2 linked regions of the Saccharomyces cerevisiae S288C genome follow. The protein of the gene in region 1 purifies or fractionates together with the protein of each later gene. This does not show direct contact. Each region holds a gene or a part of one and is shown on either strand. Other genes may lie near its edges. The genes, in order: MAM3 and VSB1.

What was found.
Region 2: the proteins of MAM3 (region 1) and VSB1 purify together in Saccharomyces cerevisiae (affinity purification with mass spectrometry, with the first as the bait; one large-scale study listed by BioGRID). This does not show direct contact.

Annotation. Positions count from the first base shown.
Region 1 is NC_001147.6:213,200-217,821, reverse strand, and holds MAM3 (Mam3p), read left to right. Parts: upstream 1-1,684; coding exon 1,685-3,805; downstream 3,806-4,622. Other genes in the region: glycerol-3-phosphate dehydrogenase (NAD(+)) GPD2, read right to left, coding at 1-696; ribose phosphate diphosphokinase subunit PRS5, read right to left, coding at 4,088-4,622. UniProt on the Saccharomyces cerevisiae protein: Involved in metal homeostasis and more specially in manganese sensitivity.
Region 2 is NC_001139.9:740,504-746,235, forward strand, and holds VSB1 (Vsb1p), read left to right. Parts: upstream 1-1,821; coding exon 1,822-4,932; downstream 4,933-5,732. Other genes in the region: ASN2 (asparagine synthase (glutamine-hydrolyzing) 2), read left to right, coding at 1-1,159; YGR126W (uncharacterized protein), read left to right, coding at 5,332-5,732. UniProt on the Saccharomyces cerevisiae protein: Amino acid transporter involved in vacuolar uptake of basic amino acids for storage during nitrogen replete condititions. May function as an amino acid/proton antiporter.

The sequences.
Region 1 (4,622 bases):
GTTTGCACCAGATAGTGCGCCACATTGGATTCCTAACTCATCAGTAACATAGGAGGATAGCAATTGCACACCCTTGGAGCCCAACTCGAACCCTTTTAGACACGAGATGGCCCTTACATGAGGGGCCACGTGGCCTTGCAATTGTTTGACTATGTTTGGTAAAAATTGATGAGGGATGTTGAAAACAAGGATGTCAGCACCCTTGATGGAGTGTAAAAGATCAGGATCGGCCACTAGATTATGGGGCAGGTCAATATTGGGTAGATATTTAACGTTCTGGTGTCTTGTATTTATGATATCCGTCAGATTTTCGTCGCCGATCTTTTCATCAAAAACCCACATTCTCACCTCTGGCTCGAAGATATGGGAATGCAATTCTGTGTTTTCCGCAATGACTTTGGCGATGGTGGTCCCCCAGTTACCAGAACCAATCACTGTAACCTTGAAGGGCGCACGTTTCAAATGTACAATTGACACGGCAGAGTCCGATCTTCTGATAGGATGGTCCTCATGACAGTGTTTGTGCTGTTTGATATTAGTATGAGCAGTCATCTTTGAGTGCAGTTGTGTTTGTAATAATGATCTTCTTAGGAAAGTAGATCTTGAAGGCAAAATTTTATATGCACGACGAGTATATAACACCGGATGCGTTCGCTTAAGGAATGTGTATCTTGTTAATCTTCTGACAGCAAGCATTGATAAGGAAGGGGAGCGAAGGAAAAGGAAAGGGAAAGAGAATTGAATCTACCAAAATACATAAACTTAAAAATTAATATATAAAAAAAAAATCTAAAGGAGTAGAAAGAAGAACCCAAGGATAAATCAAGGAAAAAGCTTAGTGGAAGGAAAAAAAACTAGAAAAAAAGTAACAAGAAAAAAAGGCAAGAAGAAAAAAAAGTAAAACCAAAAAAAAAAAAAAAAAATACTAGAATGACAGGGTAGAGAAGAGCTGCTGAACAATAGATTAATCGGAATAACAATGGCAATAGGTCCGTAAGCTAAACACTCTTCCCCTCAGCAACCCATCGGCACCTCGCCGCAAAAGCGTAATATAACAATGGCAGAGCCATCGTCGTCTTATTGTTTCGAGCATACTCAAACCTTCTTCATCATGTGAAGGAAAACAAACTCGGTAATGATGATGACTGAATCTTAGAAGATACACGCTTGCATGATGGCTATGGCTAGAGGCTAAGGCGATATGATGGTGATGGTGACGGTGATGGTAATTCCTTGCTCCAGTTTTTATTTTTCGCCCTCCCGAATTGCTGTCATCAACGGGTGGGGTGGGTGATGGCTCAGGATTAGCTCATCGCGCACGGTTACCTGGGGGCGGTGCCTGGGTTGAGGAAGGCGCGGGTGCTCGGATGTTCCGATAAAATAACCGGAGTTTGTAACGTACAGAGTGAGATATACCCTAGGGCATACCGTTCATTAAAGCAGGGTATTATCATAGAAACGAAGTCAGGGTTAGGGCTAGTATTTGTTTTCTTTCTTCATTCTTTTGGTTTCTTTAAATTCTAAATTAGCAAATGGGAAAAAAGGGACGACCTTGGTGATTGCACATAGGCTTTCCCCATTCGTGCTTGTTTGCTTATTACATAATAAAAAAAGAGTTGATATCGTCACAGTTACTTGCTGCTGCGTCTGTTATTTGCACGAAACTCTCCCCACTATAATAGATATGTCGTTTTTGCCACTAAGGTCTAGGTCACGATCAGGCGCTCCTCATTGGGTATACATCATCTTATATCACATCTTTACGATACCGAAGATATATTCACTGCCGTTGTTATCCGGATCACACGTACTCAATTCTAGGGATGTTGCCGATTCCGGCCATAGCGTAGGTGATGAGGCAAGCGTTACCACGTACTATATTATCTCTATCATCCTAGTGCTGCTGGGTGGTGTATTTGCAGGATTGACGCTGGGGTTGATGGGTCAAGATGAAGTCTACCTGAAGGTAATCAGCACTTCAGGCTCGAATTCTGAAAAGAAACTGGCCAAGCGGGTGCTTGACCTAATATCTAGGGGGAAGCATTGGGTTCTAGTCACACTGCTGCTTTCTAATGTTATAACCAACGAAACATTGCCTATTGTTTTGGACAGGTGTCTTGGGGGTGGTTGGCAGGCTGTAGTGTCGTCAACTATTCTAATTGTGATCTTCGGTGAAATTATTCCGCAGAGTGTCTGTGTTAAATACGGGCTGCAAGTTGGGGCATTCTTCTGCCCCTTTGTTCTTGTACTGATGTATCTGATGTACCCAGTCGCATATCCGATCGCGACTCTCCTGGACTATATGCTGGGTGAAGATCATGGTACGATGTACAAAAAATCCGGCTTAAAGACTTTGGTCACCTTGCATAGGACCATGGGGGTGGAACGGTTGACTAAAGACGAAGTTACAATCATCTCTGCTGTTTTGGATCTAAAGGCAAAGAGGGTTGAGGAAATCATGACTCCGATTGAAAACGTGTTCACAATGAGTGCCGATACCATCCTAGACGATAAAACTGTCGAAAAAATCTTCAACTCAGGGTTTTCTAGAATCCCGATTTTTTTGCCCAATGAACCAAACAACTTCATCGGCATGTTACTTGTCAGGGTGCTTATCTCCTACGATCCTGATGACTGCCTCCCAATCTCCCACTTCCCCCTAGCCACGTTGCCAGAAACTTCCCCGAACACATCTTGTTTGAATATTCTGAATTACTTCCAGGAGGGGAAAGCTCACATGTGCGTCGTTAGTAAAGAGCCGGGCTCCTCGCATGGCGCTATTGGTGTTTTAACTTTGGAGGATGTCATTGAAGAATTGATCGGTGAAGAAATCGTGGACGAGTCTGATGTCTTTGTGGACATGCATCAGCATATTATGAGACAACAACCGGGGCCCTTGAGCAAAAGGCACATTACTTCCTATTTGCATCATTTGTACACTAGCTCTCACAAGGAGCACAAAGCTGCTGACCAAGCTGATGAATCGTCTCCACTCTTGTCTCCATCCAATTCTAATCACCCATCCGAGCACCCACAGCAAGATTTGAATAATAAGTCTTGGAAGCAGAAGTCAAATGATGGTTACGACAGGTCCAACGCTGTATTGTCTCCAACTCCACAAGTGACGGAACATGGCACCATCATACCTTCAAATCTAGCGTCCAACCCGTTGAACGTAAATAAATCTTTTGTTACCATTAAAAAGCCTGCCAATGTTCCGAAAATCATTACTACACACACTCCTCATTCTAGCAAAGAGCCTTCTCCAGCACCACACTCAAATGATAAATCACTCTCCGCCGAAGAACAACAACTATTAAGTGATCATGCAGAGCTATCTCGCCAAGCTGTTCTCCATACTCAACGGTCGGGTCAACCAACTCAAGTTACTACCTCGACTAAAACCACGAGAAATAGCCCTGATAGTATATCAATTCCAAATTCTGGCGCGAATCACGGCAACGAAAATCAAAACGTTACAATCTCAACCTCTTACCAAAATACGAAGAATGGTATTGTGGAATCTGTCATCACAGTCAAAGGTGTTCCAAAAACCATCATTGGCCCCGCAAAAGATTGGGACGAATCCAAAAGTGAATATGGAAACGAGAATATCAATCAAGAGAATTCTAATCGAAGTGACGATAGAGAAAGTTCAAGTTCAAATGCAAGTTTATTTTCCAGTATTAAGAATAAATTTAAGAACGAAAACGCTAACAACAATGATCGTTCTAATTTCACCGACTCTTTGTCAAGAACTTCCAATTATGATGCCAACGGCTCCTCGTCGACCATAAAAAGATGAAGAGATTATGCCAAAAGAATTGCCCATGCATCATAATAACCATCATCACCGTTCTTATTAGTCCCAGACGCATGAAATCACAGGGGAGAGCAGCTTAAAATTTTTTCTACAGACATACAAGAAGAAATTGCAGTTTTTTTTTTTTTGTTTCTCTAACCTATAAATAAAATGTTTCAATACACATACTAAACAAAGAAAAAAAAATGTAGAGAATTTTATACGCAAAATATATAGACACTTTCCCCTATTTTTATCAATAAAAAAATGAACACATCAATGCCACTACCATCCATGCTCGAACAACATAGAAATGGATTCACCGTTATGGATTCTTCTAATTGCTTCACCGATTATGCAGGAGACATCAATAACATCCACTCTGTCCTTACCTAGGTACTGTAGTGTTCTATCTTGAGGAACCGTGTTAGAAATGATCAACTTATCTATACTACTTTGGCCGATTCTTTCTAGCGCATCACCGGAAAAAACACCGTGCGTTATTAAGGCATAAACTTTGGTAGATCCTTGATCCTTCAACAATTTCGCAGCTCTTGTAATAGTGTATGAAGTATCCACCAAGTCGTCGACTATAATACACACCTTGTTTCTAACATCGCCAACAAGCATGGTAGTTTGAACGAACTTGGACGAATTAGAAGATTGCGACGAGGTGGAAGATGTTGAAGTTGTTTTCTTCATTTCAAGGGCCGCAACCCCAGTGGCACCTGAAGAAGTAGTATTTTGGGAGGAAACCAAAGTAGTAACTAATGGCCTTGGAGATACTGGTAACGAACCACCAGAGGTTAACGTCGCATCT
Region 2 (5,732 bases), on another chromosome or scaffold:
GATTACTCGTTACTTTACCCCAGACTGGTTGGATGAAAAGCGTATCCCATCCACCCCAGTTGACTACCATGCTATCAGACACAGTTTAGAAAAGGCCGTTAGAAAGAGGCTAATGGCTGAAGTTCCATACGGTGTTCTTCTATCCGGTGGGCTGGACTCTTCTTTGATTGCTGCGATTGCTGCTCGTGAAACGGAAAAAGCTAATGCTGATGCTAACGAAGACAACAATGTTGACGAGAAGCAACTTGCAGGTATCGATGACCAAGGCCATCTACACACATCCGGTTGGTCTCGTTTGCATTCGTTTGCGATTGGTCTACCAAATGCACCTGATTTACAAGCGGCTAGAAAAGTCGCCAAATTCATTGGTTCTATCCACCATGAACACACTTTTACATTACAAGAAGGTTTGGATGCTTTGGACGACGTGATCTACCATTTGGAAACTTACGACGTTACCACTATCAGAGCTTCTACACCAATGTTCTTACTATCTAGAAAGATTAAGGCCCAAGGTGTCAAAATGGTTCTTTCTGGTGAAGGCTCGGACGAAATATTCGGTGGCTATCTATATTTCGCACAAGCACCTTCTGCTGCAGAATTTCACACCGAATCTGTGCAACGTGTCAAGAACTTGCATTTGGCAGATTGTTTGAGAGCTAATAAGTCCACGATGGCTTGGGGTCTAGAAGCTCGTGTTCCCTTCTTAGACAAAGACTTTTTGCAGCTATGTATGAACATTGATCCAAATGAAAAGATGATCAAGCCAAAGGAAGGACGTATCGAAAAATACATTTTAAGAAAGGCATTCGACACTACAGATGAACCAGATGTTAAGCCATACCTACCTGAAGAAATCTTATGGAGACAAAAGGAACAATTTTCCGATGGTGTTGGCTACTCATGGATTGACGGCCTAAGAGACACTGCTGAAAGGGCCATTTCTGACGCCATGTTTGCCAATCCAAAGGCTGATTGGGGCGACGATATTCCAACCACCAAAGAAGCTTACTGGTACAGGCTGAAGTTTGATGCTTGGTTTCCTCAAAAGACTGCGGCAGACACTGTCATGAGATGGATTCCAAAGGCCGATTGGGGTTGTGCCGAAGATCCTTCAGGTAGATACGCCAAAATACACGAAAAGCACGTCAGTGCTTAATACGAGCGCAATCGTATTCTTATAATTGACGAGTGAACCAAGAAATGCGGTGATACAAACGGATATTAATCTATATAGATATATGTATATAATAAAAGTTTTCAATCTGCTGACCCCTTAGGTTACTTATCTATAGGATTCGAATTACGATATGAAACCCTTTCGGTAGATATCACATGGAATACTGCAGCCGATTGATTAGTTAATTTCTTATCTCGCTTTTTTTCTCTTTATCTATCTATCTATCTATTTATCTATCTATCCTTATGCTGCAAAATGAAAAATTCCCTAGGAAGTTCGCGCTATCAAGGTTCTTTTTCCCACGTATCGGTCCCTGAGTGGATCCCAAAAAATGTGTGGGACTATGACTATATATATAACAGTCACAGTTGAATCATATTAATGTTCTATTTCTTGAGGTGATTTCAAATTGTGGCTCCAACAAGTAATCTCGGCAAGCTATCCCTTTTTAAATAATATTTTGCATTCTTTTTCTTTTTTTTTTTTTTTTTTTTCCATCTCACAGCCCTTCTTTATTTTTTCAATAAGGTAACAGAGTTGATAAGGAACCAGATAACAATCAAAAAGAATCGTTTCATTTCAGAGCTACCACCGGTCTATAAGCAAGACAGTTTAAAATCTCAAAAATTTAATTTAGAAATATGGGAAGGACTATTAGGAGACGCCGGAGTAATTCGTCGCTTTCGGAGGCCATATCAGTTTCTTTAGGAATAAATCAAGACTCATCTGTGAACAAGATGCATAGAGCGAGTGTTAGCGCAATGTCTCCTCCATTATGCCGTTCATACATGAGCGGATTTTTTACTGGTGGAAACTCACCTATGATCAATAATTTGTCGGATTCAAAACTTCCCATCTCGAACAAACAACATCCTAAAGTGATACATGGATCAGAAAATTTGCATAGGCAGACAGCTCAACTATCCAATGAATTTTGCTCCTCTTCTGTGGAAGAAAATTCTCCCACAATTAAGGATTACATGGACATTATAGGCAATGGTGATAGAAAAGATGATCAATCTATGCGTACTATAGAAGAGAATATTGATGAAGAATATTCAGATGAGTACTCCAGATTGCTACTTAGCCCAGCATCGTCTAACGTGGACGATGACCGAAATCGAGGACTACAGAATAGTTCACTACCGGAATTAGAAGATGGTTACGCGGGCGGATATCAGTCACTTCGTCCCTCCCATAATTTAAGGTTTAGGCCAAGAAACTTGTGGCATATGTGTACGTCATTTCCTTCCAAATTTGCACATTATCTGCCCGCAGCAGTGTTAGGTTTGCTTTTGAACATTTTAGATGCCTTATCTTATGGTATGATCATTTTTCCAATCACAGAGCCAGTTTTTTCTCATTTAGGGCCCACTGGTATATCCATGTTTTATATTTCCACCATAATATCACAAGCCGTGTACTCCGGAGGCTGGTCGAGTTTTCCTTCCGGGATTGGGAGTGAAATGATTGAAATTACTCCGTTTTATCATACAATGGCATTAGCTATAAAAGAGGCATTAGCAGGTAATGATGACGAAATCATAACGACAACGATATTTTGTTATGTGATAAGTTCGATGCTCACAGGTGTCGTTTTCTATGCATTGGGTAAACTACGACTAGGAAAGATAGTGGGATTTTTTCCACGACACATATTGATTGGCTGTATTGGAGGTGTTGGTTATTTCTTGATAATTACAGGAATTGAAGTCACAACGAGGGTGGCGAAATTTGAATATTCATGGCCTTTTTTTTCAGGGCTGTTTACGGATTATGACACATTAGCGAAATGGTTATTACCTGTACTATTGACTGTAGTTTTAATCGGCACTCAACGCTACTTTAAGAACTCACTCGTTTTGCCAAGTTTTTACATCTTGACGTTAGTTTTGTTTCATTTTATTGTTGCGATCATTCCAACATTATCCTTGGATGCTTTGAGACAAGCTGGATGGATTTTTCCTATTGCCAACTCAGATAGTAAATGGTATGACCATTATAGATTATTTAATGTCCATAAAGTTCATTGGTCACTAGTTTTGCAACAAATACCAACGATGATGGCATTGACATTTTTTGGTATCCTACATGTTCCTATAAATGTTCCTGCGTTGGCTATGTCACTACAAATGGATAAGTATGATGTTGACAGAGAATTGATTGCACATGGTTATTCCAACTTTTTTAGTGGATTATTAGGTTCTGTCCAAAATTACTTGGTATATACCAACAGTGTTCTGTTTATTAGGGCGGGCGCTGATTCGCCATTCGCTGGGTTCCTTTTAATAGCTTTGACTATCTGTATTATGATCATTGGACCAGTCATAATATCATTCATTCCAATCTGTATAGTGGGCTCTCTAATTTTCCTACTAGGCTACGAGTTATTAGTGGAAGCGTTGGTCGATACATGGAATAAATTGAATAGATTCGAATATTTGACTGTTGTCATTATTGTTTTCACGATGGGTATCTTTGATTTTGTCCTAGGTATCATCGTTGGCATTTTAATTGCATGTTTTTCGTTTTTGGTGGATAGTACGAAATTACAAACCATTAACGGTGAATATAATGGGAACGTCGCAAGAAGTACAGTATATCGTGATTACGTTCAAACAAAATTTTTGGATGGAATTGGTGAACAAATATATGTTTTAAAGCTCCAAAACCTTCTGTTTTTCGGAACAATCATATCTATTGAAGAGAAAATTGAAAGATTGCTGCAAATAAGTAACAAAGATGCAACAAAACGCAGAATAAAGTATTTAATATTGGACTTTAAAAATATTAATGCCGACAATATTGACTATTCTGCGGCAGAAGGTTTCAATAGAATTAAAAGATTCACGGAAACCAAAAGAATCAAACTAATCATATCTTCAATCAAAGAAAGGGACCGTATTTACAACGCCTTCAATAATGTGGGATTACTAAACGATGTGGAATTATTTGCTGATTTAAACAGTGCGTTGGAATGGTGTGAAAACGAATTCCTTTTTCAATATAAACAATTAAGAAAAAAGGCGAAAGAAAGATTGGAAGAAGGAAAGCAAAATAATGTCGTATCCGCAGTAATTGCAGCCACTAAAAACAAAAAAATTGATACAATAGGAAATGGTTTAAACAGGGGAAGCAATGGAGACACAGCGAGAAACTTAATGTCACTACCAACCAATACTCCTCGTAATTACCAAATACTTTCTGTAGCACAGAATGTATTTGTAAACGACGAACAAGCAGTGAAGAATTTCAAAAAGGAGTACAAAGATGATGAACCTGTCCTGCCTATATTGTTATTTGCATTAAAGCAGTACCGACCCGATATAATATCTGAAGTTCAAAAAGTAAGAGAAAAGGAAATCAAGTTTTGGGCACAACTCTGCCCCTACTTCACCAGGCGCAGATTAGCAAGTCAATCACATTTACTACATGCAGACAACATTTTTTTCCTTGTGGAAACAGGTATGTTGAAGGCAACATATGAACTACCACAAGGAACCTTGTACGAGATTTTTTCAAATGGCACATGCTTCGGAAAAATCATTGCGCCAGGGAATGCTATGCCTAGAGAACAAAAGCTCACCATCGAAACTGAAACTGATTCCGTATTATGGGTTATAGACTCTAGCTCGTTGAACAAATTGAAAGAAGACAATCTAGCATTGTACGTGGAGGTTGCATTAATGGTCATGTGTATCAAGGACACCAGATTCAAAGAATTACTAGGTTACACACTTGTTAGCGCATGAGAGCGTACACGTATATTTATTTAATTTCTTTTATTGCCGGCGTATTGCAAGTAATTTACACCAGTACTAAATAAAAGCAGGATGCTCCTGCATCTGTATAAGTGATGCCGTTGTAGGATTTTTACCATCTCGACTATAAACTTTTTGTACTTGAGTCTTCACTTCCGGAATTTTACTGCGCGATTTTCTTTGATAGGGCCCCTATCGTAGACGAAAAGTGATAATTCCCATCGATGAGCAACTACATACCTCACTTGACTTAATTGCTCTCCTAAAGAAAAAAAATACCGTTACTTTTTTCATTAATATACTACCACAACAATTCACAACGGGTAGTTGTACGGTTAGTTTATATCCGCATTAACAAATCAAAGTCATAACAACGTATCAACGTAGACTATGCCTGTCCCATCTGTTACTGTCACTACCGATAATGAATATGAAGACATATCGTCCTTTTCTTCTATTGACTCTTACAAACCGGAGCCCTTTACTGGGTTCAAAGATTCTGAAGCTCCAGAACAGCCTCTTTTAAAAAACGATACCATTGTTGGAAAGGGGCAACTGGAAGATGATAGTAATGTAGATGATCAACACCGTCATTCAGATGTGCATTCTCATCACAGTTCTAGTACTTTAAAAAGGCCAACTTCAAATTCGATAGAAAAGATGGTTACCCACAATGCTTTAGAGGGCAACTCAGAAACAGTTGATTCCTTAAAAGAAGATGGTTTAAATTTGAACAAGAAAGCTCTTCCGGATATTACCGCCCCAGTAACAAACTCAGCTCACGATGCTGC